Drosophila melanogaster: one gene and its partner. The gene in region 2 interacts genetically with the main gene of each other region. Each region holds a gene or a part of one and is shown on either strand. Other genes may lie near its edges.

Region 1 (7,081 bases), on a different chromosome or scaffold from region 2:
CAGCTTTGTCCGCTTTCGGTCGTTGGTCTGCGCTATGCGGTTTCTTCGGCTGCTGACTGGAAGTCTTTGTTTTTGTTTATCGTCTCATGAAGACTTTCAAAACCCCCCAAAAAATGAGGAAACTCGCCAACTTCTTGTGATTGTTACTGGGAGTGGAGAAAGTTTTATTCGGCTCGCGTTTTCTGTGTATTATTTTTTCTTCTTTGGGCAATCTGTTTCATTAGCATAACAACAAATATTGTTCACATAGTAGCCAAAAAAGAGATTTGCACAACAGCCAAATCTTTGTCATCGAGCATTTCGTATTCGCTTTCAATTAATTGAGCTTATTCAAAGAGGTGAATAAGCTAGCTTTTCATGTTGTAACATTTTTTCTATGCAAATGTTTTGATTATTACATAAGGTCAAGTAGAATGCGATAAGGGAAAACGTGCTCGATATGGCTTGTTTACATCTGAATCAACAGAAAAAAACTTATATTTAAGCCCCAAGGCGCAAACGACAGTGGAGAAGTTCTGAGAACTTGAGTGTTTGTTTTTTTTTTTTGGCTGATGTCGGCATTCAAAGATATCGGATCGGTGGAATTAATGGGATATGTATATTGGAATGGGGTATGAAAAGCGTTAGAACATTTATAATTCGTGATGTCTTGAAAGAAATGCCAAATTGAATAAAATGTGTGGACTAAAACCTTTTATATTTGCATATATTAGACAAAAATATTTGTTTAATTTCCAAATTTGATTTATATTCAATTTTGCAAGAAGGGTAAAGACAATATATATTTAATGAACTTTTTGTGAAGAATTCTCAACGAAACAATGGGCCTGACTTTCTTTATGAATAAATGGAAACAATAAATGACAACAAATACAACAAATTTGTTAAAAATTAATTTGATCGCTAGAGAGGTCATATCGTTAAAGAAATACCAAGTCAGGGGAAGAAAACGTTGAAGAGGAATTTTAAAAGACCTCAAATTAATCACTTCTATGTGGTGCTCATGCCCCCCCCGCCCCAATTCCAAAGCCCCTTCATCTCAATAGCTACACTCAAACCCAATCAATTTCCAATTATCCAAGGCCCCGTACGAAATTGTTCATGTTCAACCAATTTCGAAATGGTTTGCTTCGGTTCGGTTCTTAACCCATGCTTACCCTCATTAACATGTCCTGATCGGGGCAGCGCTTCCTTTGGTGGTGCGGCTGCTGTTGTGGTTGTGAAATTATTCATCTCTCTCCTCCTCTCGCCACCCTTCTCTTTCTAACAGGCTCTGGCTGTCTCTTTCGGTGGCTCAAATCTCTATAGAATATCTGTATCTCGTTCTAAAACAGGTGTTTAAATTGGGTAGCTCAAGGACGCGCCTTCCACTCCACTGATTTTTAATTTATGTTGGTTTACTTGTTGAAGCGGGCTGGCAAAATAGATACATAGATGCGGCGATACAGAGCGTGAGTAAACTATATTTTCATCTAATTGCGTCGCTCTCGGTGCAACTATTTCACTTTCACACTTCCACACGAGATATAATGCTTATAATTCCACAATTTCCACCATCAACACGCGCGCAACAACGACAGCTGCAATTCAAAATTCGATTTGATTTAGGTATTGTATCCCAAAGATACGCAACGAACCGGCGGCCGTCGTTCCACGAAAGCAGCAAAACAGCTCATTCAACAGCGAAAGCCGCTCAGCGAATGGATGTTGTTTGACTTGGCCATACAGTCCAGCTAACTGGAAGACACAATAATACTGCAAGCGGCGCTGGAACTGGAAGCCGATACAAATGTATCTCGAAAGCGGCACTGCAATGGAAGAGAGAATAAGAGAGAGGAGAGAGAATAACTCAAAACAGTGCTGCCAAGTTTCAAAAAGATTTCAAATCTAAATACAAAAAGTTATAATTTTACTATTGATTTATAAATTCATTAAACGGTATATATGTACATATGGTTTTTTATTATTATTTAATTTTCCAAAATGAGTTGGGAGCAACGAATTTCAGTATTTCTTTTATTTATGTATATGGCATTTGCTGTTTAGTAAAGACATACACCATTGCGTTAGCTAAGCGAGGTTTCAATCCTCAACAAATGCTACACTTAAAAAATTCCAAAATCATATTTAATTAGATAAAAATTGTGTAGCTAGAAACTTGTTTATAAATATCACGACTGCTAGTTAGTTGTGAAAGTAAGGTATTATAATTAAAATTTAAATAATAGGTAATGTTGTAAAAAAAACTTTAAACGTATAGTTCATATTGGGATACTGGGAATTTCAATAAAAGTTATCTTAAACATATTGTCGTTTATTCATATAAAACTTTATTATTATTTTAATTGATAACTTGGGTAATAAAGTGAGTGAGCAAGTAGTCTCTATAAAATACTTCTTGAGGCACTACCTTCTCGTTGTTATTTATTTTTATAAGTCAAATCGCAGCCGAAATTTAAGAAACTGAAGCCGGGTTCAAAGTATGCCGAAGTCGGGAGTATTTCACTCATAGCGCAAAATAAACAGTCGATCGCAGACACACAAATACTTGTATTACTTGCCACAGCATAGATATACAGATACTTTTGCATCTACAATCGACGTGAAAAAGGTAAACAAAAGTCAAGTCACGGTGCGAATGAGTGTGTATTTGAGATAGATGCCTCGGTGCGAGTGCTGAGTTGTTGGTAACAGCGAGCGATCGCGGCATTCCAGTCAGTAACGAGTTGAATGTGGCTCAAAACGCGTCGCTGAACGATGGCTAAAAACGTTTAAAGTTAAAAAGCGTATTAAATCATATAATATATAATATATTGGTGTAAAAAATACAGAATTAAACCTAATAATTAAGTGTCCGGACATCCCCTAGAAAAATGTGTGAAAATGTTGAGAAACTAACCGGAATACTATGAAAACTGCTGTAAAACTTGGCTAAGATAAACTCGTTTGCACCAATACACATGTGATTATACGTATAAGGGCAACGCAAAATACTCAGACTCCAGAAGCCAGCAATTAAAAAAGAAGTTAGTCAGTTAGCGTCTGGGCCGCGTTACTGGTGTATGAATCATACTTTGGATACGTTTAAAAATAACAAAACAAAAACCTTAAAACGAGGAAAAAGTTGTAACAGTGCTAATGTAAACTTCGATCAAACTTAGCGGAACGAGCTCGCTACAAAACCAAATACCCATAACAAGTAAATTAAGCACACATTATAAAATACCTCAAATGTCGGTCAGGAAGTTGAGTGCCCTATCGCTCTCCATTGGTGGAGTTCCGTTGATTCCAAGTGTTTCCTTGGTAGCTGCGGCCAATGGAGAGAGTAGGGATTGCCATGGCACGATCTGTCATCCGGTCAATGAATTTTGCTATGTTGCAACGGAGAGATGTCATCCGTGCATCGAGGTCTGCAATAATCAAACCCACAACTACGATGCGTTTCTGTGCGCCAAGGAATGTTCAGGCAAGTAGAATTCAAAGATTTCCAAAAGATTACCTCAGATTAACTCACGATCCATAGGGTAATTTGGCGGGTTCTATGCAAGTTCAGGTTTTTCCAGCTGGACTTAATTGTATTTCAATTACAGTTGCTTCAGCGGGTGATTAACTCATCACCCATGAGTTGACTAAAATAGGGGGTATTTTAAAGATTTAAAGAATGTACATTTTTATAATAAAAATGATTTGTTGAAACTAGCTTTATAATAATTTTTTTAGTGTAAAAGATTTGTAAAAGTTGTAATGGCAAGATAAGGCCAGTTGCATTTGCAATTTTTATCTGACTATGTACAACGAGTTATCAAAAACGTTCCCGTGTTTTATCAATTATTATTTACTTAAAACGATAATAGTAGCGATATTATTTAATTTCTTTATCAACCCACAGCTTACAAGACATTTGAGCCGTTAAAAGCCGAGATGCTGGACATCCAGAATACCCAGCAGCTGATCCTCTTGCTGCTGACTATCCTTCTCGTCCTGATTGCGCTTCGTTGCGCGTTTCAGTTCCTTCGATGGCTGATAGGCAATCGGTGCTTCCAGAAGCTGATGCGCCGTCTCCAATCGAAGGCCTACCCTCATCCGGCAACTGCAAATGGAAAGGATCTTAATGCTACCACCATACAGAATCTGAATGCCATTAACCATCCCGGCAGCGACCTTGAGCGGGCACAATCACAGATCTACAGTGTGGCAGGTAAGTGTAAGGATCTACCTGTCCGGGTTTTTCCAATAACACTTCCCAATGTACACATTATACCTGCAATGATTTATTACAGGTGCTGCCGAGGGTTCCGTTGTGACTATGACAACGCCGGTGAGCACTCGCTATCCGGCGGAAAACAGTACCACGCCCACAACGGTTATGACGGAGATCGGATACGGATACGATAATCAGGCCATGGTCGTAACGCCGGTTTCCGAGAAACCCTCAGCAGCGACGATTCCCGTCGCTTTCTAAGGCCATACAAGTACTTGAAAACTCTTACTTCTAAATCAGTCCAGCGAAAGCAAAATGTGCACCACATTAAAACTAGTGATATTTTTCATAGTTATTAAGCAAGAAGTCTTCTATCAATATGGAATATATACGCATATCTGTAGAATATAAACCTTAATTAATAGGTTTATATATGTTGGGACATATTTTTGATAACCCAATGTGGCCCTGAAAACTTATATTCGATCTGTATGAAATTATATGTAAAGGAACTTTTTTCTCTTTACTTTAATATTTTCCTTAAAGCAACGAAAATACTTACAACATCACAACTATGAACGAAGAGACATATTTATAACTGTTAAGAAATATATTTATAATGTTCAATTTATTATCATGTTAAGTTTTTTATGTGGAAAAGTTTTGTAAATGGTAATATGGGGGAAAACCAATTCATTCGCAATCACCACAAACGTTTCTCAACACACTTCCATCCGGTTAAAATAATTACGAATGCGAAATAAATCTTCCTGAAAATTTTTTGAGTTTTGAAATAAGACACGGGAACTACGCTTAAAAGTATTGTCATTTATTGTAAAAAGTATTCCACGTTGGCAAACACAATTCTAAGGCTAAGTTAAGTTGGCTTTTTGAGTATAACTCTTGTTCTCGTCCTTAATGCTAATCGTTTGTATATGACACGCCAGATATGTATGTGTGCTTGTTTCCAAACTATAATTAATGTTTTCGTATATAAAATGCTTCACTTTTCCTAACGAATCTCATAAATCAGCCTTAAACGTAAGCTTATATTTAAATAAATAACCTAGGACTAATTCCGATCGAATTGGAAACGCTTGTATTGATCCCTTTATTGCAGAACATCCTTCTAAACCTTACACCCAATACTGATTCCGCCTAAGTAGTGGATTTGTTGGCGGGGCCGAGGGCGGTGAGCTGACCGATCCGGAAATACTTTGTGGCACAGAGGCATAGCCAGCAAAATCATTCGCCATATCGCAGGACGAACTCCAGGCGTCGTGCTCCATGTGATAAGGATTATATCTCTGCGGCAGCATCATTTGCTGCGGATCGCACTGATCGTCCGTCTCCTCCTCATCGGGATCGTAGTCGGGATACTCATGTTTGTACGACTCCACGGGTATTATCTTGCAATGGGGAATATTGCTGAAACCCGGTAACGGTGTTGAATTTCCTGTGGCCGGCACGGAATCCGCCTCGGAACTTGCGTAATGGTGGCCATGATGATGGTGCAGATGGTGTTGCGGACTCACAGAAGTCAAGTCTGGTGGACACGGTAGCGCCGGCGGCTGATCCTTGGATATATCTGCCTTGTGCTTTCTCAGTTTCCTGATCTTTAATATCAACAGCACGATAAGCAGGCATATCAACACGATAAAGATGGCACATCCTATGGCTAAATAGTTAATGGATAATCCTGCACTGCCCAAATGAACCGTCTCGGTTTCCTCAACACGACTTCTATACTCAATCGATACGGTGGCCTGTGCCGGCTGAACTGTTTTGATTAGCAATTGATAATCAAAACTGTCATGATCAGCTTCTGTTTCCTCGACCGATTCATGGGGCACAAAGTAGACGACGCCACTTCGAAGTTCTTTATAAGAGAATATATTCGTGGATCTATCACTCTGGCCATCGGTTGTCAGTCCCGTGCTTCGGATTATCTTTCTGATTTGCCCAGTTGATGGCATTCTAGTGATCACAAACTTGGGGTTGAATTTATTTAGTTTCAACGACAAAGGATTATCGTTGTCCAAAGAGGTAATAAGCTTTATTTTACCACCCGAGGATTCAGCTTCCTTCATTACTATATCATTGATTTGTATTACAGGTTCCACCTCCATTACCACATCGACCTGAGCAACATAATTGGTGCCCGGAACATAGGCACTCACCTGGAAGGAGTCATTCGATCGGTTCAGGTCTGTTTGCATATAGCTTATCTGTGATGTTTCCAACTGTTGTTGCGTGAACCTCAGAGTTGGTTGATGTTTGTACACTATAATGCCAAAAAGCGGCGAGTTTGTGACGTTGTAAGACAACCTTTCCATATGCACATTTGTGGACACTCCAATATGATCCAATCTCATTGGAGCAGTAGTAGCTCCTTGCTGAACCTTCACTGGTGCTTGCATTGCTGACGGTTGCAGATGAATAGAATCTATTTTAATGGTAAATATTTCGTATGCAGGATTTGATTGCCCGTCGGATACGGTGAAGCAAAACGTCGTGGACTGTGGCATTCCAAAGTGGACATATATAATGCGATCGTTGTTAATATCAGCTTGGGTAAACTGATTGGAGAAAGCTAATAGATCCTCAGGGCGTCCATCGTTTGTGATCTTTCTAAGTACCCCCAAAGTAGGACCACTCATCACATCGTATATAATTTCTTCAGGAGGTGTATCTGCATCTTCGGTTAGCAAATCATTTCTGGTGATAGTCCGATTCTCACCCTCAACGACTGTCATTTGGGGCAGGTGGGTGACCAAATGGAAGGGTTGATCGTTAATGGGGTTGATGGAAACGGGAATTGTCAAATTGCACAGAAAAATGTTCCTGAAATGAAAACGTATCTTATTACAATAACTGTTT
Region 2 (8,884 bases):
TTCGAGATCTGGAGTCCACGCCAAGATCTCTGAAGCGCCTTATGGATCAAAATGAAAGGACGCCAGGTTCCGTGGAAAAGACGACGACCAAGCGTTCGTTCCTGGAAATGCTGGGCGTAGCTGGCCAGGAGACGGAAGCCACAGAACAGCCCCAGAAACGGGCGAAGCCACTGGAGTCACGTGGAAGGCGGCTCTTTGGACCTTCTAGCCAGGAAACTGCTTGCAGGCACATACAACTTCAGTCCATAAACGAGGAAGATGCCTCGCCGAGCAAGAGACAAAAGGAGAACTCTGCCGCGGAGGATGTCTCACCACTGCACAAGCTTCTCAGCACACCAAGTCATTCCCCTTTGAGTGAGAATGTCAACCATGTGTACACCTCCCCGCCAACCACGTCAGCGGCAGCAGCAGCGGTGGCTGCAGACGCGCTTAATCCGCCGCCGATCTCCGCTGCCATCTACTCGCCCACCTCCAACCTGCCCAATTACGTGCTGGATGGCGAGGCACCGCACCTGGGCATCATGTCGCCCAAGCGGAAGGCGAAGGAGAAGGTGGACTGGCTGACGAATATCCGCAAACAGAAGCTGATGAGTGGCAGGGCCCATGTGACGCTCAGCGAAAAGATCAGCGAGGAGCAGCAGGCCGATGTGCTGGCATCCCCGCGCCTCCAGAGTCTGCGGCAGTCAGAGTGCAGTCCCAGGATACACGCCTCGCCCCGCAGACGCATCTCCCATACGGACGGAGGCGGTGGCACGCCGGCTGGCAGCTCCTCGCACTCCCATTCCCAATCCCAGCCAAAAACGCCCACTTCCAGTAGGCGAAACAGCGAGACGACGCTCCTGCGATTCTTTAGCATTCAGAGAAGTAGCAGTGTGCCGGCGGAGGAAACAACGACAACGAATGCGGCTCCCTCCTCTTCTGATCCCCATCCCCCGGCAGTGACTGCGCCCGCAGCCACGCCCCTCAGCATGCGCACGCCCACGACGGCGGTGGGCAGCGATTGACGCGGAGCCTCGAGCCACAGCACCATTATTGCACTTGTAGTTTTAAGCGGACATTGTTTAAGTTATTTTATGTAGATAGTAGGTTGCATCTATCGCGGGACGAGTTGGTAACCAACTCCCCGCCCTCTGTACAGAGCCAAAAGATACGAAAGACTAACGTACCCGAATAAAAGTAACTCCATTTTAAAGCTGCCTTGATTGATTCTCTAAAAACTAACTCGTTTAATGTACTGTTTATTCAATTTTTTTTTTGGCATAATCAAAACGGTTTATATGTGGCACTCATGGCTAACAAGTGGCACTCAGACCATTTTACTGCAGCTTTTTCTGTTGCTCCTGCTGCTCCCTCTTGGCCGCATTATTAATCCGCATGGTCTGGACAAGCTGCTTGGCCACCCCAGCGAGCAGTATGATGTGGGTGAAGTGAAGGGCAGCGCTGGAGAAGTTCGTACTGGGATAGGTGTTCCAGCAGTACTCAATCAGTCCGAGGATCAGGCAGCGCACGCCCAGCGAGTACGGCGTCGACCAGGCCAAATAGGGTAGCGAGTGGAAGTACCAGACGTAGAACTGATAGTGCAAGGATCGGGAGCAGGCCACGCCCACCAGGTTGCACAGGAAGAACGGCAGCAGGGCCAGCTGGGTGCAGCGATCGAAGTGGATGCCATAGCGTTCCGGTTCCGCCTGTGCGGGTGCCGGAGTGGCCTTTCCTCCAGACGCCTTCTGCAGGCTCTTCTCGAAGGCCTTCAGGAAGGATTGCTGCTCGGTTGTAAACTTCTTCTGGTCCTTGTCCTTGTCCTTTTCCACTTTCTTTGGTCTTTTCTGCGCGTTCAGCTCGAGGTTCTGCTGGGCTATTTGCGGCTGCAGCTGATCCTCAATACGGCGCAGGCGCACGTAGCTCTGGAAAAAGGTCCAAGTGGGCTTGGCGAAGGCCAGCAGGAGCAGCAGATGCAGGCCCAAAAGCGAAACGTGGAAGGTGCGGTTCTCGAACAGATCTCTGCTCAGGAAGCGATAGTTGACCGTCCACTTGTGCTCGAAGATGCGTCCCAAATCAAAGCTGCCCCGCAGATACTCCACAGGATGGGTGAGCAGGAAAGGAGCGCCCAGCAGCAGTTGTATCACTCCGCAGACAGCCAGCTGCAGGATCGTCCGCAGAAGTCCCAGGTTGGCCAAGTAGAACAGCAAGAGCGCAGGCGCAAACAGCAGGATGTTCATCTTAACGCCCACCGCCAAGCTGAAGAAGGTGCTACCCAGGGTCCACCTTCTGTCCAGGAACAAATTGAGTGCGGCATAGAGGAGCAGCACTGCCACCGGATCGTTGAACAGTCGCAGCACGTATATCGAGTGGATCCGATACGACGTGAAGGCACTGAGCACTAGCACATACGGCGGCACCTTTCTGCTCTTCGAGTACAGCCTCAGCACCAGGGCCAGCTGGAGCAGGTAGATCCCGGCGAAGATGTACTGCGCCAGGCGAACGTTCGTTCCGTGGGACGTGACGTAGTAGAGAGCCGAGTAGATGTACACGAAGGCGGCTGGATACACAAGAGGTCCTGTGTCGCCTAGGAAATCGAAAATCGAAGAATTTCAATTATCATAAATTAGATAGAAGGAATGCAATTAGTCATTGTTTTCATTCACTAAGCAGTTATTTCAGTCTGTTTGGGCCTGGGAAAACTATTATATCCATTGAGTTACACTTCATATTTATTTTAAAGGCAAAACTTTAGTTAACTTATTTAATATACGGCTTTTTTAACTTTAACGGTATATAACGATATTTCATTCGCTTTCACGCCGGTTGGTATTTTCGCTCGCTACGCACGCGGTCACATTGAGCAAGTGCGAGTGAGAGAGAGAGAGACAGACATTCGTAGGACAGCATGGATGTTACGGCATGTTGTTGAAAAGCTGAAAATCTGATACTTTTATGGAAAAATGATGATTTCGTGTAAAAAATTATTCGTGTTCCGGCAGCTGCCGGCGGTGCGCCGTTGCCTAGCGGCAGCCGCGTTCTCCACGCCACGCGCGACCTCCTACCGAATCCTCTCCAGCGCCGGGAGCGGAAGTACCCGGGCAGACGCACCCCAAGTGCGCCGCCTGCACACCACGCGCGACCTCCTGGCCAAGGACTACTACGCCACGCTGGGCGTTGCCAAGAACGCCAACGGCAAGGACATCAAGAAAGCCTACTACCAGCTGGCCAAGAAGTACCATCCGGACACGAACAAGGAGGATCCGGATGCGGGCCGCAAGTTCCAGGAGGTCTCCGAGGCCTACGAAGTGCTCAGCGACGAGCAGAAGCGCCGTGAGTACGACACCTATGGCCAGACGGCGGAAAACATTGGTCGCCAGGGCGGCGGATTCCCTGGCGGAGGAGCCGGTGGCTTTGGCCCCGAGGGTTTCTCGCAGAGCTGGCAGTTCCGCTCGAGCATCGACCCCGAGGAGCTCTTCCGCAAGATCTTCGGCGAGGGCAACTTTCGAACGAACTCGTTCGACGACTTCGCCGACTCCAAGTTCGGATTCGGCCAGGCCCAGGAGATGGTCATGGACCTGACCTTTGCCCAGGCGGCGCGCGGCGTTAACAAGGATGTCAACGTCAACGTGGTGGACCAGTGCCCCAAGTGCGCCGGCACCAAGTGCGAGCCGGGCACCAAGCCAGGTCGCTGTCAGTACTGCAACGGCACCGGCTTCGAAACGGTGTCCACTGGGCCCTTCGTAATGCGCTCCACTTGCCGCTACTGCCAGGGCACGCGGCAGCACATTAAGTATCCGTGCAGCGAGTGCGAGGGCAAGGGCCGCACGGTCCAGCGCCGCAAGGTCACCGTGCCGGTGCCGGCTGGCATTGAGAACGGGCAAACGGTGCGAATGCAGGTGGGCAGCAAGGAGCTGTTCGTCACGTTCCGCGTGGAGCGGAGCGACTACTTCCGGCGCGAGGGCGCCGATGTGCACACGGACGCGGCCATATCCCTGGCCCAGGCGGTGCTGGGCGGCACTGTGCGTGTCCAGGGCGTATACGAGGATCAGTGGATCAACGTGGAGCCGGGCACCTCGTCGCACCACAAGATCATGCTGCGCGGCAAGGGTCTGAAACGCGTGAATGCCCACGGACACGGCGATCATTACGTGCACGTCAAGATCACGGTGCCATCGGCAAAGAAGCTGGACAAGAAGCGACTGGCTCTGATCGAGGCGTACGCCGAGCTGGAGGAGGACACCCCCGGGCAGATCCACGGAATCGCGAATCGCAAAGACGGCAGTAAGCAAGCAACGTAAATAATCTCCCGATCTACCAATGCAATCTCTAAATGTAACTTGGAGCTTGAATTCGTAGTTGAAATATACGTGCGTTCTATGTGCGAGCTTTATTAAATGATGGCGTCTTTCTCTCCCCTTCCCCATCTCTCGTTGCAGCGCAGGAGCGAGTGAGGAGCCAGGAGCGGGAGCAGCTGCTAAAGCCAGTGCAGCAGCCGCCGGATCAGGAGCCTCCAAGCCAGGACCAGGAGCAGAAAAAAGCGAAGGCAAAGACCAGTGGACGGACAACGAGAAAACCAAAGCGAAAGAAGGCGGCGGATCCGGATCCGGACAAGGCGACGGCGGAGGCGGAGGCTTCATAAGCAAGATCAAGTCCATGTTCAACTGACAGGCGTTGGCAACCCGATGGCCGATTCTGTTTTTTTAGTGTCTAAGTTAACGCACGTTATTGTTGCTAATCTAAGTTCGGGCGGGAACCGGGGGAGTGTATTCCAAATACGACTCGGTTCGAGATGAATAAACCAAATTGACCGTCAGTCGGGCAAGTTCTGCGTTTAAGCGAGGCTAACTTCACTTGTCTTAATCTCACGCTGCTCCGATTTTCAGTTGCCTAAAGTTCGTGCCGCATTTGATGTCGTCCAACTCCCCAAATCTCTGTGTTTAACCTTTGATGGTAACTGTGTTCAAACATTTGAACCATATGTCAAACTACTCTCCTCGATTTTGAAAATACTTCAAACTTTAAAGTAACTGAAATATCAATTTTATAAGAATTCCAACTAAAAAAGAGCATAAACTATATAGCTAGTTGGAAATAGGCTATCCCCTTAGTAAGGTAACCTAAAATATCGTTATAACCACATCATGCGAAGAACAACAGGTGCACGCATATGTTTCCGCAACCGGAATGGGGTCACCTGTGGCCAAAAATAAACCAGGAGCGGCGCAGAAACTCACCGCGCAACAGACTGTAGTTGGTGGTGCCGTTCAGGAAGCCCTCGCACTCCTGCATGTAAGCCACCCAGTCGATCTCTGTGTAGGGCACCCGCTGGATGACCACCACGTTGATGACCAGCTCCGCCAGGAGCACGAAGAGGCCAACTATGGGCAGAGCGGCCGGCTCCAGGAGCAGATACTTGAAGAAGCGCACGTTGAGGTACTTGTCCAGGATGGAGTCCACCAGGGTGCCCGACTTCTTGCGCCGCACCGCCGGACGGTGGCTGGCGGCCTTTGGCGGGGCCATTTCTGTGATAACCGGCGAAAATTAATTAAAATTCAACTTGAACCGAAAAACAACCAGGGCGGCACTATCAAAATCAGCTGTTGCGCCTCCCATCGATAGCAGTCCAACTGGATTTTGCATGCTATCGATATTTTCCCAATTTAAATTTGTAGTTCTAACAGCGAGCACCAGTGGCGTCTTCCGCTTCCGGTTGTTGCTTGGTTTTCAAGAAAAGAAAATTTAATTTTATCACGCTGAAAATGCTTTTAAATATTTGTAATTTAATTTTTAAAGTATATTTGGGTTGCTACCTAAATTATTGTGGCCAAAACACGAGTTTTCCAAGGAGGGCTACCTTCATAACTTGGCCAAAAAAAGTCGCACATTCAAAAAAATTACTGTTTTAGACTCCTAATGATCCAAACTAACTATCCCAATCACAATCTTGACGATTTTCAATAATTAAATTTTTGGCCATTTTTTGCATTTTTTGTAAGGGGTTACATCGTTAAAATTTGCAAAAAATTGACAAAAATTAAAATTTTCAAATTTGAATGGGAATCGATTAGGAATGTGAATACAAGTTCAACAAGCTATGACACTCAATATTTGGGCCATAAAATCGATTGTTTTGGCCAAAATACGTATTTTTTGGTTGATTTAAGGGTTCACCTTCATAATTTGGCCAAAAAGAGTTAATGATTCAATACAGTACAATAGAAATATCATTATTTGAGGATTTGCTTGAATTTTATTGAATAGCAATGAGTTTGACAATTGCATTTTGAAACACATCCACTGCTTTTAGTTCCTGCTGAGTATTTACAATTTGAATGGCTGCATTTTTCCTAGCCAGCTGGATGTTGTAAGGCCTGCGGGTGGATTAAACCATAACATATATGTAGTAATTAGCAGAATTCCTACACGGCGAACGCTTCTATTCGGTCAAAATGGGTGGGCCCCATTTGGGGCGGGGGACCGGAACTGCAGGTGGGAATACGCAACAGGTACAAAACCAATCAGCTCATGGCCAATTTGCTGGCCAGATTAACGTCCATCGCTGGCGTCATCCCAATAGCAAACAGTCGGTCGTGGTCCGTGTGCTTTGGCTGGTTTTGCTGGCTTTGGGTGGTTTTTGGGGTGGCTCTGGCGGTTTAACGCATCGCTGAGATGCATTTGCCAGAGGCAAACGGGGTAACATAAGCCGGGCGAGGGTGTGCTCATGCAAACGCAGCTCGTTTATCGGGTTACAACTGATATGGTGGCCATGCCGCAACCACACTTAACCCACCATCGAGCCCACATCCTTTTCAGGACGCAGAACGCAGAACGCAGGACACAGGACCCAGGGCTCGGGACTCTGGACGGGGGAATGGCCCGCACCCAGACCCACCGGGCAATTAAATGTCAACCCACGGATGCGAATGGCTGCCCGATTTTCCGGCGCTGCCCCGCTCTTGTGTGTTTTTTCCGCATTTCGTGATTCATTTATTGTGTCCACTGCAGCGTGTTTGCTCGGAAAAAGAAAAACACGAAATAGTTGGCCCTGTTGTCGCTTTTTCCCGACATTTACCTGTTCAGTCAGCCAGCTGAAACACTGATATGCCACCAATTATCCAAAAAGCGAAAAACTGTAGCGAAAAAAGGTGCACGGCGATTTACAGGAATTTAGCCGGAGGATCCGTGCGAACTGGAATTCAATAACCCATTTTTGTCAGCTACATTTTTTCCAAAAAAAATCTGTTTAAAAACATTTTTGCTACAGATGAGTGGAGTTTTACCGTAAAATTTTTCTGTACTCTGATAATCCTTTGTTTCCCCTTTTTTTTAGCAAAAATGTTGAAGTGTGTCCCTTGATAGCAAAACTAATTATGTATGCCAGCATTAATTAAGCTTATATGCTTGAATACATCATTTCGCTGGAGAAAGAACATGCTCGAGAGAGTAATTCAAATTAAATATAAAATAATTTAAAAGGTTTATACAATTGTAAATAATAAAACATACTGATAGTCGTGCGTAATGTGGCAAGTCATGCATATTGACTAATTTAAGTGATCTGTGCTTTTTTCTTGGGGCCCGTACCAAAATAAGTTTAAGCATATGTTTTCATGTTTGTCGCCCCATATTTGTGGGTCAATCGCGTCCGAAGAGTTGGCTATCTCCGCATGAACTATAGAACTAAATCGGTCACTCCTTATCGGTCGCGTCGCCTTAGTCGACAGATGTACCCATGTGTGTAGACAAACCAACATACGTACAGCCTCAGCTACTTTCTGTGCGAGTGAGACAATTGTTTATTAATCAATAATAACAATAATCTACGCCACGCACACCGACACAACGTGTGTATTTCGGTATCGGCGCTGTTATCACTATCAGCCCGCTGCTGCTGTGGCTCCCATTGCTGATAAGCGACTTCCCCCACTCCGCCGCTGTAATGCAAATCAACAGCATTCGGCCTATGATAGTGATAGTGGCGAGCGGCGAGCAGTACTTTGCACTCGAGTGCTTATTAATTTCTCTTGCCAGCAGCGCACTCATTGCCTTTGCATTTTATTGTCTCACGATCTGGCTATAAAATGAAAATGGGGACGGGTACTTTATTTATCGCCGCCACTTATTGCAGTTCGTATGATACTCGCTCTATGGGCGGAAGAAACGGAGGCGGGGCAGTTCAGAGGCTCTCGAGCCGGAAAAAGTCTCTGTAGGGTAAACAAGGCGGGTTCCATGGCTCTGCGAAGTCTTTCTGCCGAGCTTCAGGTACAGTGGAGGTTCTACTGTGTGAAAGTGTAGTTAATACCTAAGTTCGTAAAGTTGCTAGTGCCATTTTTGCTTGCAAAGCATGCTTTGTTGAAAACCATTTGATATCTTGCTAGAAGCTTTCAGTTTAGTGACTCTACATCCCTACATGCTGGCAGTTTCGAACAGTTTTGAGCTGTATTCCAGTGAGGATTAATCCCATTTGAGTTCGAAACTATCGCCTCTTGTGCTGATTATTGTGGACAGAGATATTGGATCACGACACAGAGGGCTGACTGTGGCCTCTTTGCTTTTGCTTTGAGCTTTGAACGCCCGCAAATGCTGACTATTTTGTTGGGCCCTAGCATGGTGATAGAATGTGGGAGGGGGAAAGGGGCGTGGCAAAGGGGGAGTAGGTTGGAGATAGGAGGGCTAGCGACTAAAAAGTGTTGATAACCGGGCACACATTTGCATCCACAAACACTGCGACGCACACACGCACACCCTGCTTTCTAGGCCTCTGCCATTTAAGTTCAATCATTTGGAGCGTCGTCGCTGCGTTGTCATTGTTGTTATTGTTGTTATTGTTGCTATTGTTGCTATTATTGTTATTGCTGCTGCTGTTTGTGTTGCTGTCGCTCCATGTGCTCCTCACATATGTTGA

Evidence for each region.
Region 1: of Alg3 (region 2) and grnd, changing one suppresses a phenotype caused by changing the other (phenotypic suppression), as found in Drosophila melanogaster (one study listed by BioGRID).

Annotation. Positions count from the first base shown.
Region 1 is NT_033779.5:18,482,737-18,489,817, forward strand, and holds grnd (grindelwald), read left to right. Parts: upstream 1-2,680; 5' UTR 2,681-3,231; coding exon 3,232-3,466; intron 3,467-3,889; coding exon 3,890-4,198; intron 4,199-4,280; coding exon 4,281-4,462; 3' UTR 4,463-5,285; downstream 5,286-7,081. Other genes in the region: CG10283 (uncharacterized protein), read right to left, coding at 1,158-1,233; kon (kon-tiki), read right to left, coding at 5,338-7,045. UniProt on the Drosophila melanogaster protein: Acts as a receptor for TNF-cytokine egr. Plays a role in activation of JNK signaling and is required for egr-induced apoptosis, including in wing imaginal discs during development. May also play an egr-independent role in cell proliferation.
Region 2 is NT_033778.4:23,704,215-23,713,098, forward strand, and holds Alg3 (ALG3, alpha-1,3- mannosyltransferase), read right to left. Parts: upstream 5,579-8,884; 5' UTR 5,500-5,578; coding exon 5,214-5,499; exon of another isoform or gene 4,963-5,213; intron 4,813-4,962; exon of another isoform or gene 4,645-4,812; coding exon of another isoform or gene 4,416-4,644; intron 4,372-4,415; exon of another isoform or gene 4,278-4,371; coding exon of another isoform or gene 2,940-4,277; exon of another isoform or gene 2,699-2,939; intron 2,564-2,698; coding exon 1,317-2,563; 3' UTR 1,225-1,316; downstream 1-1,224. Other genes in the region: l(2)dtl (lethal-(2)-denticleless), read left to right, coding at 1-1,004; CG5504 (uncharacterized protein), read left to right, coding at 2,940-4,273, 4,416-4,644. UniProt on the Drosophila melanogaster protein: Probable alpha-1,3-mannosyltransferase involved in the N-glycosylation pathway. Involved in glycosylation of the TNF receptor grnd, regulating its ligand affinity. Required for normal epithelial growth and architecture.